3 linked regions of the Saccharomyces cerevisiae S288C genome follow. Changing the gene in region 3 together with the main gene of any one other region gives a genetic interaction. Each region holds a gene or a part of one and is shown on either strand. Other genes may lie near its edges.

Region 1 (3,259 bases), on a different chromosome or scaffold from region 3:
CTGCTTGGCCTTGGCTAGGTGCCTTTCCTCAGTGAGATCCTTAACTAGAAATTCCTTCTTCGCAGCAAATGCATCGGAAGACAGGTTCCCACCGTTTCCAATCAATAATTGTGCCCATTGTAGATATTGCCATTCAGTTAACTTTACCCTTGGTTGTGCTTCATTTGCACTGCTTCCCGTTATAAGTGTCATGATGTACTGTTTGAGTACACCCGTCAAAACCATGACAATCGAAATAGGTAACAGGACCCAATACTTCAGCTGGTCATCTAATAACATCTGCGGCGCCCTAGCTTGTTGAATACTGCTTGTTGTTTTGTCTATTCTGTTGAAGAGAAGTTGTTGTAAATGCTGGTTAATCGTCATTCTTTAACATCACAATGCTTTATTATACCTCTTCGTTCTTAGTGAGATGGCGGAAGCCAGTGCTATAGTCACCAAATAATACGCATTATATATGGATATGTACAGTTCGCAGATCTTTATGGCATATTTATCGTTTACAACCGTCTTCTGGTGAATATGAGCCAGTTGTGACCCCCATGATCCGTGACGGAAGGTGAGGTAATTCGGTTCGTCGCCAATTGACTCAGTAAAAGCTTAACTTGCGACTTGATACGCGTGCTCTGATCCAACGGTTCATCCTTCTTGTTATTTCGTGCTATTTTTAACAGCTTCCAGTAGTTTAAATTGCGGTACATTCTCGAGGATTCTTCCAATAAAGGCTGGATATAAGAGACTGCTTCGCTCATTTCAGTGTCTTGATCACCACCGTTGCTTATCAGGGAACGTTTGCAGCCGAAATTTATATTTATACCAATGGTATGCAATTTCAATCTTACTGGAACGTTTGGCATGCTGTTGAATAAGATCAGTTGCGAGAGAGATGGGATGTCCTGAACTGTCTGAAACATGCACCTGTATTCATGTTCTGACTCGCTCGGATCAGTCAGGAAATCAAGTCCCAAACAGTGACCCAACGCTGAGTTTGTCAACTTCCTCTTCATAAAGACTGTCGGTAGTTTGTCGTTTATTGCTCCTTTAGATATGCCCTCTGTTATGAATTCCTTCCATAAAGAGGGGAGATTGTAGGAAGAATCGACAAGACTACCAGCGCCACTGTTTTCCCAGTCGTAAAGCACGAAGGTGTTGTATTCATTCAAGTATTCTTGATATTTGCTTTCACGTAGTTTGTAATTTATCTTCCGCTTTAGGGCAAAACGTTGTTTGCTGGATACATTTCCATACCTAAGCACAAACTTCGGCGTTTTAAGAACTTTCGAAACCTCACTACTATGACTTCCATAGCTCACCATTTTTTCCTTGCAATATTTCTCTCTCCTTTGTTTAATGCTTCTTTACCCAAAAGCGCAGTAAACTTCTGATCAATCAATAAGACGAAACTTGAGAAAACGAAAAATCGAAGAAATATTATATATAGATAGTTGTGGCTGAATAATATATATCTGTTCAAACGTTTTAACGCGCGATAGAAAAAAGATCTCGCTGCTAACTTTTTGAATAACCATTACTACTTTTCCAAGCTATAGGCAAATGGCACCTGCTTCATTTTTAAGGTCATTTTTGCTAAATGTATCATCTTCAAAATAGATAAATCTGTAAAGTATAGCGGAGCCACAAATTTAGCAGGTATAAAAATTACTCAGCCCTTTTGGCCAAGTGGTAAGGCATCGCACTCGTAATGCGGGGATCGTGGGTTCAATTCCCACAGAGGGCATTTGAAATTTTATTTTCTATTTTTTAATTTTTATATATAATATATATAACGCGACATAGCTGTTATTACCTACTAGTAATATCCTCTCTTTTTTCAAACAATGATGGTCCTTGCACTGACAAATATGTTCCTTTCCTTTTTCTTTTCTCTATTCTGCCACTATACAATTTATTGTTTTCCACAAAGGGTAAAGGTACTTTAAGAAAATAGTTTCTTATTTTTTTTGCCATGTAATTACCTAATAGGGAAATTTACACGCTGCTTCGCACATATACAATTGTTTCAGATATGAAAACTGTTGCATTATTGCCGTTCATCATTTAAATACCAGAGCTTATAAACCTGGATATGGCTGAACTATCTCCCGTTGTTACGTTCACACAGAGAGCTTTCAAGTGCCGCTGAAAATTCCACTAGGAAACAAAGAACAAGCTACGTCATGAACTTTTTAAGTTTTAAGACTACAAAACACTATCACATTTTCAGGTACGTGAACATACGGAATGACTACAGGCTGTTAATGATAATGATAATAGGTACCGTGGCAACAGGCCTAGTGCCGGCAATTACTTCTATCCTGACGGGCAGAGTGTTCGATCTACTATCAGTTTTCGTGGCTAATGGGTCACATCAAGGTTTGTATTCCCAACTAGTACAGAGGTCAATGGCAGTAATGGCACTTGGTGCGGCTTCTGTGCCAGTAATGTGGCTTTCTCTAACAAGTTGGATGCACATCGGCGAGAGACAAGGCTTTAGAATACGGTCACAGATATTGGAGGCATATTTGGAGGAAAAGCCAATGGAATGGTACGACAATAATGAAAAATTGTTAGGAGATTTTACTCAAATCAACAGATGTGTGGAAGAGCTAAGATCAAGCTCCGCAGAGGCATCAGCCATAACTTTCCAGAATTTAGTTGCAATATGTGCGCTTCTGGGGACGTCATTCTACTATTCTTGGTCATTAACTTTAATTATTCTTTGCAGCTCTCCAATAATCACATTTTTTGCAGTGGTGTTTTCCAGAATGATTCATGTATATTCAGAGAAGGAGAATTCTGAAACGAGTAAAGCAGCCCAATTACTTACATGGTCGATGAATGCCGCTCAATTAGTGAGATTATATTGTACACAACGTCTAGAAAGGAAAAAATTCAAGGAAATCATACTAAATTGTAACACTTTCTTCATCAAGAGTTGCTTTTTTGTTGCTGCAAACGCTGGGATCTTGAGATTTTTGACGTTGACTATGTTTGTACAGGGATTCTGGTTTGGTTCCGCAATGATCAAAAAGGGCAAGCTGAACATTAACGATGTAATCACTTGCTTCCATTCATGCATTATGCTGGGCTCGACTTTAAATAATACATTACACCAAATAGTTGTTCTTCAAAAAGGCGGAGTGGCTATGGAAAAAATCATGACTCTATTAAAAGATGGATCCAAGCGAAATCCTTTAAATAAAACTGTAGCCCACCAATTTCCACTAGATTATGCCACCAGTGATCTAACATTTGCTAA
Region 2 (3,034 bases), 370 kb from region 3:
CAGTTGGAAAGGGACCATATGTTTTTCAAAAAGTCATTTGAAGTGAAGAAAAGAAGAAATAATGAAAAGCAAAAAAGCATGGAAAGGGAAATAGAAGACTTGAAAACTAGGTTAGAAGTGGAACGATATAAGAATTCACAAATGATGAAGAAGAACAAACAGAAAGAACAAGAACTCTCAACTGCATCTAAAAAAAAGACTACCGAACATGACACTAGAGGCGTCCCGGGCATGAATCCTAAGGGTACTGACAAATTTAGCATCAAGAACACGCTATGTAATCATTTCACACTATTAACATTTGGAACTATTTCCATCGGGATTATAGCTATTGTCTTCAAGATCCTTTCCCCCAACTAGCATCGTAAATACAAGACACACACGATCCGCTTTTCACGTCAGAGATTATTATATACGTACGTATATATGTAATAGATATTCACATGTAAAAAAAGGTAAGCATCCTTTCATTTAAGAAAGTATGGGGGGAGTCATCCGTCTCACGGATTCTTTTTCAAAATATTGACGTCGTCAATTTGCATTCTTTCCAAAGTTTTTATTCCTAGCAGCTTTGTCATTTCTTTGACAAAACTAATTGCTACACTTTGCACATTTACAACAGCATCGGGTCGTTGTTCCATAATTGAAGTAGTCAGTGTATTTTTCAAACCGCACATTTCAAAACTATTCATATACGATAGATCTGTATTAACATTAATTGCTACCCCGTGCGATGTTATGGAACGTCTGACGTGTATTCCAACACTAGCAACTTTCTTCTTGCCATTTTCAACCCAAACTCCAGTGTCCTTTGTAGTCATAGCATCTAAGTTCAAAGGCTTGTCAGTGTCGTCGCACATCTTGGTATTCTTCAACGTTCTGATAGTGGCCTGCTCAATGCATGAAACCAAGCATTTAGCAGGGAAACTTTGAAATGTTTTCAAATCTAAAATAATGTAAATAACAATTTGGCCTGGACCATGAAATGTTACTTGTCCACCCCTTTCCACTTGAACAAACTTTGGTCGTGGGTTGTCCTTTTGCGTTTCTGGAATGAAACTTTCATAAGCCGCTATCTGATCTGGCGTCATAGTTTTCTTAATCCTCTTCCCACCTGTATAAGTTGGCTCAAACTCAAACGTTAATATTATCGGATTAGGTTTCATTGCCATAACCTTGTCTAATATTCTTTTTTCGTTATCATTTATTGTTGCAGTGCCCTTATATTCTTCATCCAATTGTATTAATTTTCTCTCAATCTTCGATTGAATGTCTTTGATGTCCAAATTTGCCCTAACTAATGTCTCCTGTATTTCCAATCCTTTTTGAAAAGGTATTCTTTGAGTGAATTGTAGATGTCTGAGCGTTTGCGCTGAGGGTTTTATAGGATGTGTCATTTCCTTGAGAGCAGAGGCATAAGTGCTAAAGCATTGTCGCCTACAGACATTGAAGTTTGTGCATACGGACTGGCGAATACACCTCGACATGGGGCTGAAGCTTTCGACAAATCTTAAATTGTGACTTTGTGCATGAAATTTTTATATGAACGTTTTAAATAAGTGGACATAGTCCTTCATTCGGTATATGCAGATCCGGCATCAAACACTTTTTCAAGAAAGTTTGAGTCAAAAGGATTAAAGGATAAAGTAAAACAACAATAACATCTCCGTGAAGCATTGAGGGAAGGGTTTAACTCCAACAATGTCACTGAACAACATAACATTCTGTGTCTCACAGGATCTGGATGTTCCCCTGAAAGTGAAAATCAAGTCATTGGAAGGACATAAGCCACTGTTGAAGCCATCTCAAAAAATCCTGAACCCTGAATTAATGCTGATAGGGTCAAATGTATTCCCTTCTAGTGATCTAATTGTATCCTTACAGGTATTTGATAAAGAGAGAAACAGAAATTTAACTCTTCCGATATACACGCCGTATATTCCTTTCAGAAACTCTAGAACCTGGGATTATTGGTTGACTTTGCCCATACGTATCAAACAGCTTACCTTTAGCAGTCATTTACGCATTATTTTGTGGGAATACAATGGATCCAAGCAAATTCCCTTTTTCAATCTAGAAACGAGCATCTTTAACTTAAAAGACTGTACTTTAAAAAGAGGGTTTGAATCCTTAAAATTTCGTTATGATGTGATTGACCACTGTGAAGTGGTCACTGATAACAAAGATCAAGAAAATTTGAATAAATATTTTCAGGGTGAATTCACGAGACTCCCTTGGCTTGACGAAATCACTATAAGCAAATTAAGGAAACAACGGGAAAATAGGACTTGGCCTCAGGGCACCTTTGTCTTAAACTTAGAATTTCCAATGTTAGAGCTTCCTGTTGTGTTCATCGAAAGGGAAATTATGAATACTCAAATGAATATTCCAACTTTGAAGAACAATCCTGGACTAAGCACAGACTTACGAGAACCGAATAGGAATGATCCTCAAATCAAAATTTCTTTGGGGGACAAATATCACTCCACATTGAAGTTTTACGATCCTGACCAACCAAACAATGATCCAATAGAGGAAAAGTATAGGAGATTGGAAAGAGCATCTAAAAATGCAAACTTGGACAAGCAAGTGAAGCCGGACATTAAAAAGAGGGACTACTTGAATAAAATCATCAACTACCCCCCTGGCACTAAATTAACAGCACATGAAAAGGGTTCAATATGGAAATATAGGTATTATTTGATGAACAATAAAAAAGCTCTTACAAAGTTATTACAGAGTACAAATTTGAGAGAAGAATCGGAAAGAGTAGAGGTTTTAGAACTAATGGACTCATGGGCAGAAATTGATATAGACGACGCATTAGAACTATTAGGCTCAACTTTTAAAAACCTTTCAGTGAGATCGTACGCCGTAAATAGGCTGAAGAAGGCATCAGACAAGGAGCTGGAATTGTACTTATTACAGTTGGTAGAAGCTGTCTGTTTTGAGAACCTGTCCACTTTTTCCGACAAATCTAACAGTGAATTCACTATTGTGGATGCCGTATCTTCGCAAAAGCTTTCGGGTGATT
Region 3 (4,206 bases):
ATAGACCGGGATAGAGTTTCCTGCTCTTCGTTGTTACAACATTTCCTTATTGCTAGATACAATGAGTTGTTCGCATACTGACTGAAAAATCCGGCTTCGTCTAGTTCGCTATAGTGATATAAACATCTCTTGTATATTGGAAGACGAAAATCGTTCGGTATCCCAAACCAATATAAGTTATGCTTACTTATCACCAACAGCAGGTCCGTCTCATCGCCAGATGTATGACAACTTCTCAAATTGCTCCAAAACTTTTCCAATTTTAGTTCTCTTCGAAATAAGTTTCTATTTTGAAACTTTAAATTTAAGATGTTCCTCTTTGTTTCCGATTTAATGAGGTTTTGTATGGATGGATCAGTATGAGTGCACAAGGTTTCATCGTTATTATTGGCAATTAATGATAACGATTCTTTTTCACTATTGATTTTCCTTTTATTTTCCTGAATCAAAGAATCTACACTCAAATTTTTTTGTGGTCTAATGACTAATGAAGATGATCCTGATGAGTTCCTGTTGTTGTTTGGAGTAAACAAACCATCAGAAAACACAGAAGACGCAGAAGAAGATGAAGAAGAGTACATCGTTGATCTGTGATTCGGCGAAGGGGCCACAGGACTCCCCTGAGAGTTTGCTCGAGGAATGGCAAAGTTGTCTATTATGGGGACAGCATAACTAATGAGATTAGTATCTTTATCTATTGTTGTGTCCAGAATTGTTGTCCAATCTGTGGTCCCGGAATGTAGGGCCTCTTCTTTCAAATCGTTTCTTGTTATTCTATGCCTGCTATGGAATAGCCGCTGACTGGGTGGTACGTACTCGTGCATGATATTATTAACCATGAGTTGTAGCTGTTTTGTTATATCCAAAGAATTTGGCTAACGTATCCTTGTACGCGTGATTTATTTATATATACGTGCAGCACAATATATATATATATATATATGTATGCGTGCGCTTGGTTATGGCTCAGTAAAGCGAAAGTAACGGAATAAGCGAGGGAAGGGGGATCTAGCGATGAGGGAATGGCAGTAACAGACTGTTCCCTTACAATACACTCTTGCTAAATTACATCAAGGATAATATACTATTTTAAAACAAAAACCAGCCATTTCCCTAAGGACGCGAAACTTTTGTGACGCGTTTCAAATAAAAAAGAATACTGCAAAACGCAGCACAATAATTAGATAAAACTAGTGGCATATGTCACTAATTAACTATATAGTCACTAATACTGTATATATAGCCGACACAGGCTACACAAAACACAAACGCAAAGGAATTAGGAATGTAGGTAGGTACACCGAGGCTAACTGACACTTCTGGGTCATGGACAAGCTTGTTTTTAGCACATCGTAAGGAATGTAACCACGCTTGAAAATAACAACGATACATATCAAGGTAGTTAGAGAGGCATTCCAGCCATAGATACGCAACCACTTTTTCAATCTGCTATTTGTATTAACTTGTAATTCGCTTGAATTCCAGAATTTATTGACGAAATAGACGAAAAGGGGTAGTTGCAGAACTAGCTCAAGGACTACAAACCAGTATAGCCATTCTGGTTTCTCTGATAGCAGGAAATCGTGTTGCTTTGCGATGTGATCACTAACAACCTTTTGCGCAATCCCTAGTTGCCATTTAGCGGGAATAACCACTGATGAGTCGATGAATATGGTGATGGGAATGTGAACGATGAAGTACCACAAGTAGAATTGTTGCTCACGATGTCCTAGCTTCATTATCTCCGGTCGCTTTTCTCTATATGTTTTCACGTGAGTGGCTCGTTTCTCGTACTTATTTGCTGCGGTTGTTCCTTTTATACCTACTAATTCGTATCCTGTACAAAAGCCGATAATTCTTTACTATGTTTTCAAAGGTTTTTTTTTTTTAAACGATATGCAAATTATTAATTCTTTTGAATATTTCTATGTAATCTAAACCACTTTACAATATACTATATGGAATACGTGGCGAAGAAAATTCCATTATCTCACCTCCGCTTCTTTCTCATCTCTTTCATTTTCTTGTAATGTGCCTTCCTACCGCTCGTAGATTTCTCCTGAATTTCGTTGTATTTACGCTTGAAATACTTATTAGAAGCTTCATCACCCATGAGTGTTTCCAAAATAGTCGACTTTCTTTCCTTCCTGTTCATACGACTACTATAAAACTCACTCTTGTCTTCAATTATGGTACCAATAGCAAACCTCTCTGGCACCTCCCAACGTTGCTTCTTATAATGTCTCTTTGGATCAAGAGCAGCTCTATGTTTAATCAGCAATAAATCTCGTTGAACTTCACGACGCATGTTATCATCTGGCTTTGGTAAGGTAAACCAGTCATTATCGTTTTTGTCGCTCTTGTTGGGTTTTCTTTTATCTTCTGTCTCCACACTAGGCAAGACGTTCTTCTTCTTCTTCTTGTTTGCTAAAGCATCAAATCCGGTTTCTAACTTAGGAAGCTTCTTAAGATTAGTTTCGATCTCTTGAAATTTACTTTCAATTTCTACTTCATCATCATTATTGCCTATCTGCAAAACATCCTCTTGTTGAAGAGAAACTTGTTCCTTCGCTGAATTTTTTACTTCTAGACTGGCACTAGCATCTCTTAGTGCTCCAAATAAGTCTTCCACACTTTGATCCATGTTTAACAGCTCCTTTCTCACGTCCTCTTTAATTGGAAAACTTGACGTCTCATCGCATTTTCTATTTCTTTTCTATCTTCTGTTTTAATATGCTGAAAAATTTTTAGGCCGGCACTAACCACGAATTATGATAAAAGAGAAGGATGTTTAGAGAAAAGGTTTTCGTGTGAAAGGGGGAATTGCGTTGTTAACTGACATAGCTGTCTTCAATGGAATCATAACAATGAAGTTCGAAGACCTCTTGGCAACCAATAAACAGGTGCAGTTTGCTCATGCAGCTACTCAACATTACAAAAGTGTCAAAACTCCAGATTTCTTGGAGAAAGACCCACATCACAAAAAATTTCATAACGCAGATGGCTTGAATCAACAAGGTTCTTCGACCCCATCTACAGCTACCGATGCAAATGCCGCCTCAACTGCTTCCACTCACACAAACACCACGACATTCAAAAGACACATTGTTGCCGTGGATGACATATCGAAAATGAACTATGAAATGATAAAGAATTCTCCAGGGAATGTAATAACGAACGCTAACCAAGATGAGATAGATATAAGCACCCTCAAGACAAGGTTGTACAAGGACAATCTTTACGCTATGAATGACAACTTTTTACAAGCTGTCAATGACCAAATTGTAACATTAAATGCAGCGGAGCAGGACCAAGAAACTGAGGACCCTGACTTATCAGATGATGAAAAAATTGATATACTGACCAAAATCCAAGAGAACTTGCTTGAAGAGTACCAAAAACTTTCACAGAAAGAAAGAAAGTGGTTTATATTGAAAGAACTACTGTTGGATGCAAATGTAGAACTCGATTTGTTCAGTAATCGTGGCAGGAAGGCAAGCCATCCAATCGCATTCGGAGCAGTAGCCATACCAACGAACGTCAATGCGAATTCACTAGCATTTAACAGAACCAAGAGAAGAAAAATTAATAAGAACGGCCTTTTGGAAAACATTCTTTAAGCCAAGATTAACATAAGACAAGTTTGCAAAATCCCCAACTTCACTTCCATATGCATATTCATTTAGGTATATATCGTATATTTGAGAAAAATTCATATATGAAACGTTATTAAAACATGAAAAATAGAATGTGTTATCGGGCTTAACTATATTCTGCCATTCAATGCGTGTTTCTTGACCATCTCTCGCACTACCTCTGACGGTACATAGAATGGGTTATGCTTCTTTGTCTTTTTCGTGTGCTCATATTGTCTTTGGTTCTCGAACTCAACCTCCTGGGTTAAATTTATATTAAAGAACAAGAAATCCTCTATGCTATCATTATTATCTTGAGATTCCATCTCAAATAGTTCAGAAAATCCGGTGTTCCCGAGGTCATCGTATTGCAATTTTTGTTTGTCTACCTCATTACTCAAATTGCTATTGGAGGTGCTTTTGATAGCATCACTACATTTATTATGAAGCATATCCATTAACTCCGTCCTGAGTTGTTCCGACGTGTGTCAACAAAAGGATTTACTAAGAATGTTGTATTTTGAGTTTTAAAAGGACGTGCATATGCACATACATATATATATACATATAT

Evidence for each region.
Region 1: mutations in EMA19 (region 3) and CBT1 together harm fitness more than expected from each alone (negative genetic interaction), as found in Saccharomyces cerevisiae (2 studies listed by BioGRID).
Region 2: mutations in EMA19 (region 3) and LIP2 together harm fitness more than expected from each alone (negative genetic interaction), as found in Saccharomyces cerevisiae (2 studies listed by BioGRID).

The regions. Positions count from the first base shown.
Region 1 is NC_001143.9:45,214-48,472, reverse strand, and holds CBT1 (Cbt1p), read right to left. Parts: upstream 1,317-3,259; coding exon 501-1,316; downstream 1-500. Other genes in the region: ER membrane complex subunit EMC3, read right to left, coding at 1-279; ATP-binding cassette a-factor transporter STE6, read left to right, coding at 2,178-3,259. UniProt on the Saccharomyces cerevisiae protein: Involved in 5'-end processing of mitochondrial COB, 15S rRNA, and RPM1 transcript. May also have a role in 3'-end processing of the COB pre-mRNA.
Region 2 is NC_001144.5:615,832-618,865, forward strand, and holds LIP2 (lipoyl(octanoyl) transferase LIP2), read right to left. Parts: upstream 1,488-3,034; coding exon 501-1,487; downstream 1-500. Other genes in the region: FAR10 (Far10p), read left to right, coding at 1-360; phosphatidylinositol 3-kinase VPS34, read left to right, coding at 1,702-3,034. UniProt on the Saccharomyces cerevisiae protein: Catalyzes the transfer of endogenously produced octanoic acid from octanoyl-acyl-carrier-protein onto the lipoyl domains of lipoate-dependent enzymes. Lipoyl-ACP can also act as a substrate although octanoyl-ACP is likely to be the physiological substrate.
Region 3 is NC_001144.5:244,334-248,539, forward strand, and holds EMA19 (Ema19p), read right to left. Parts: upstream 1,740-4,206; coding exon 1,254-1,739; downstream 1-1,253. Other genes in the region: MLO50 (Mlo50p), read right to left, coding at 1-839; FCF2 (Fcf2p), read right to left, coding at 1,991-2,644; IES3 (Ies3p), read left to right, coding at 2,868-3,620; NRS1 (Nrs1p), read right to left, coding at 3,767-4,093. UniProt on the Saccharomyces cerevisiae protein: Part of an import route for newly synthesized mitochondrial proteins termed the ER-SURF pathway (ER surface-mediated protein targeting), which retrieves mitochondrial precursor proteins from the ER surface and reroutes them to mitochondria for efficient mitochondrial import.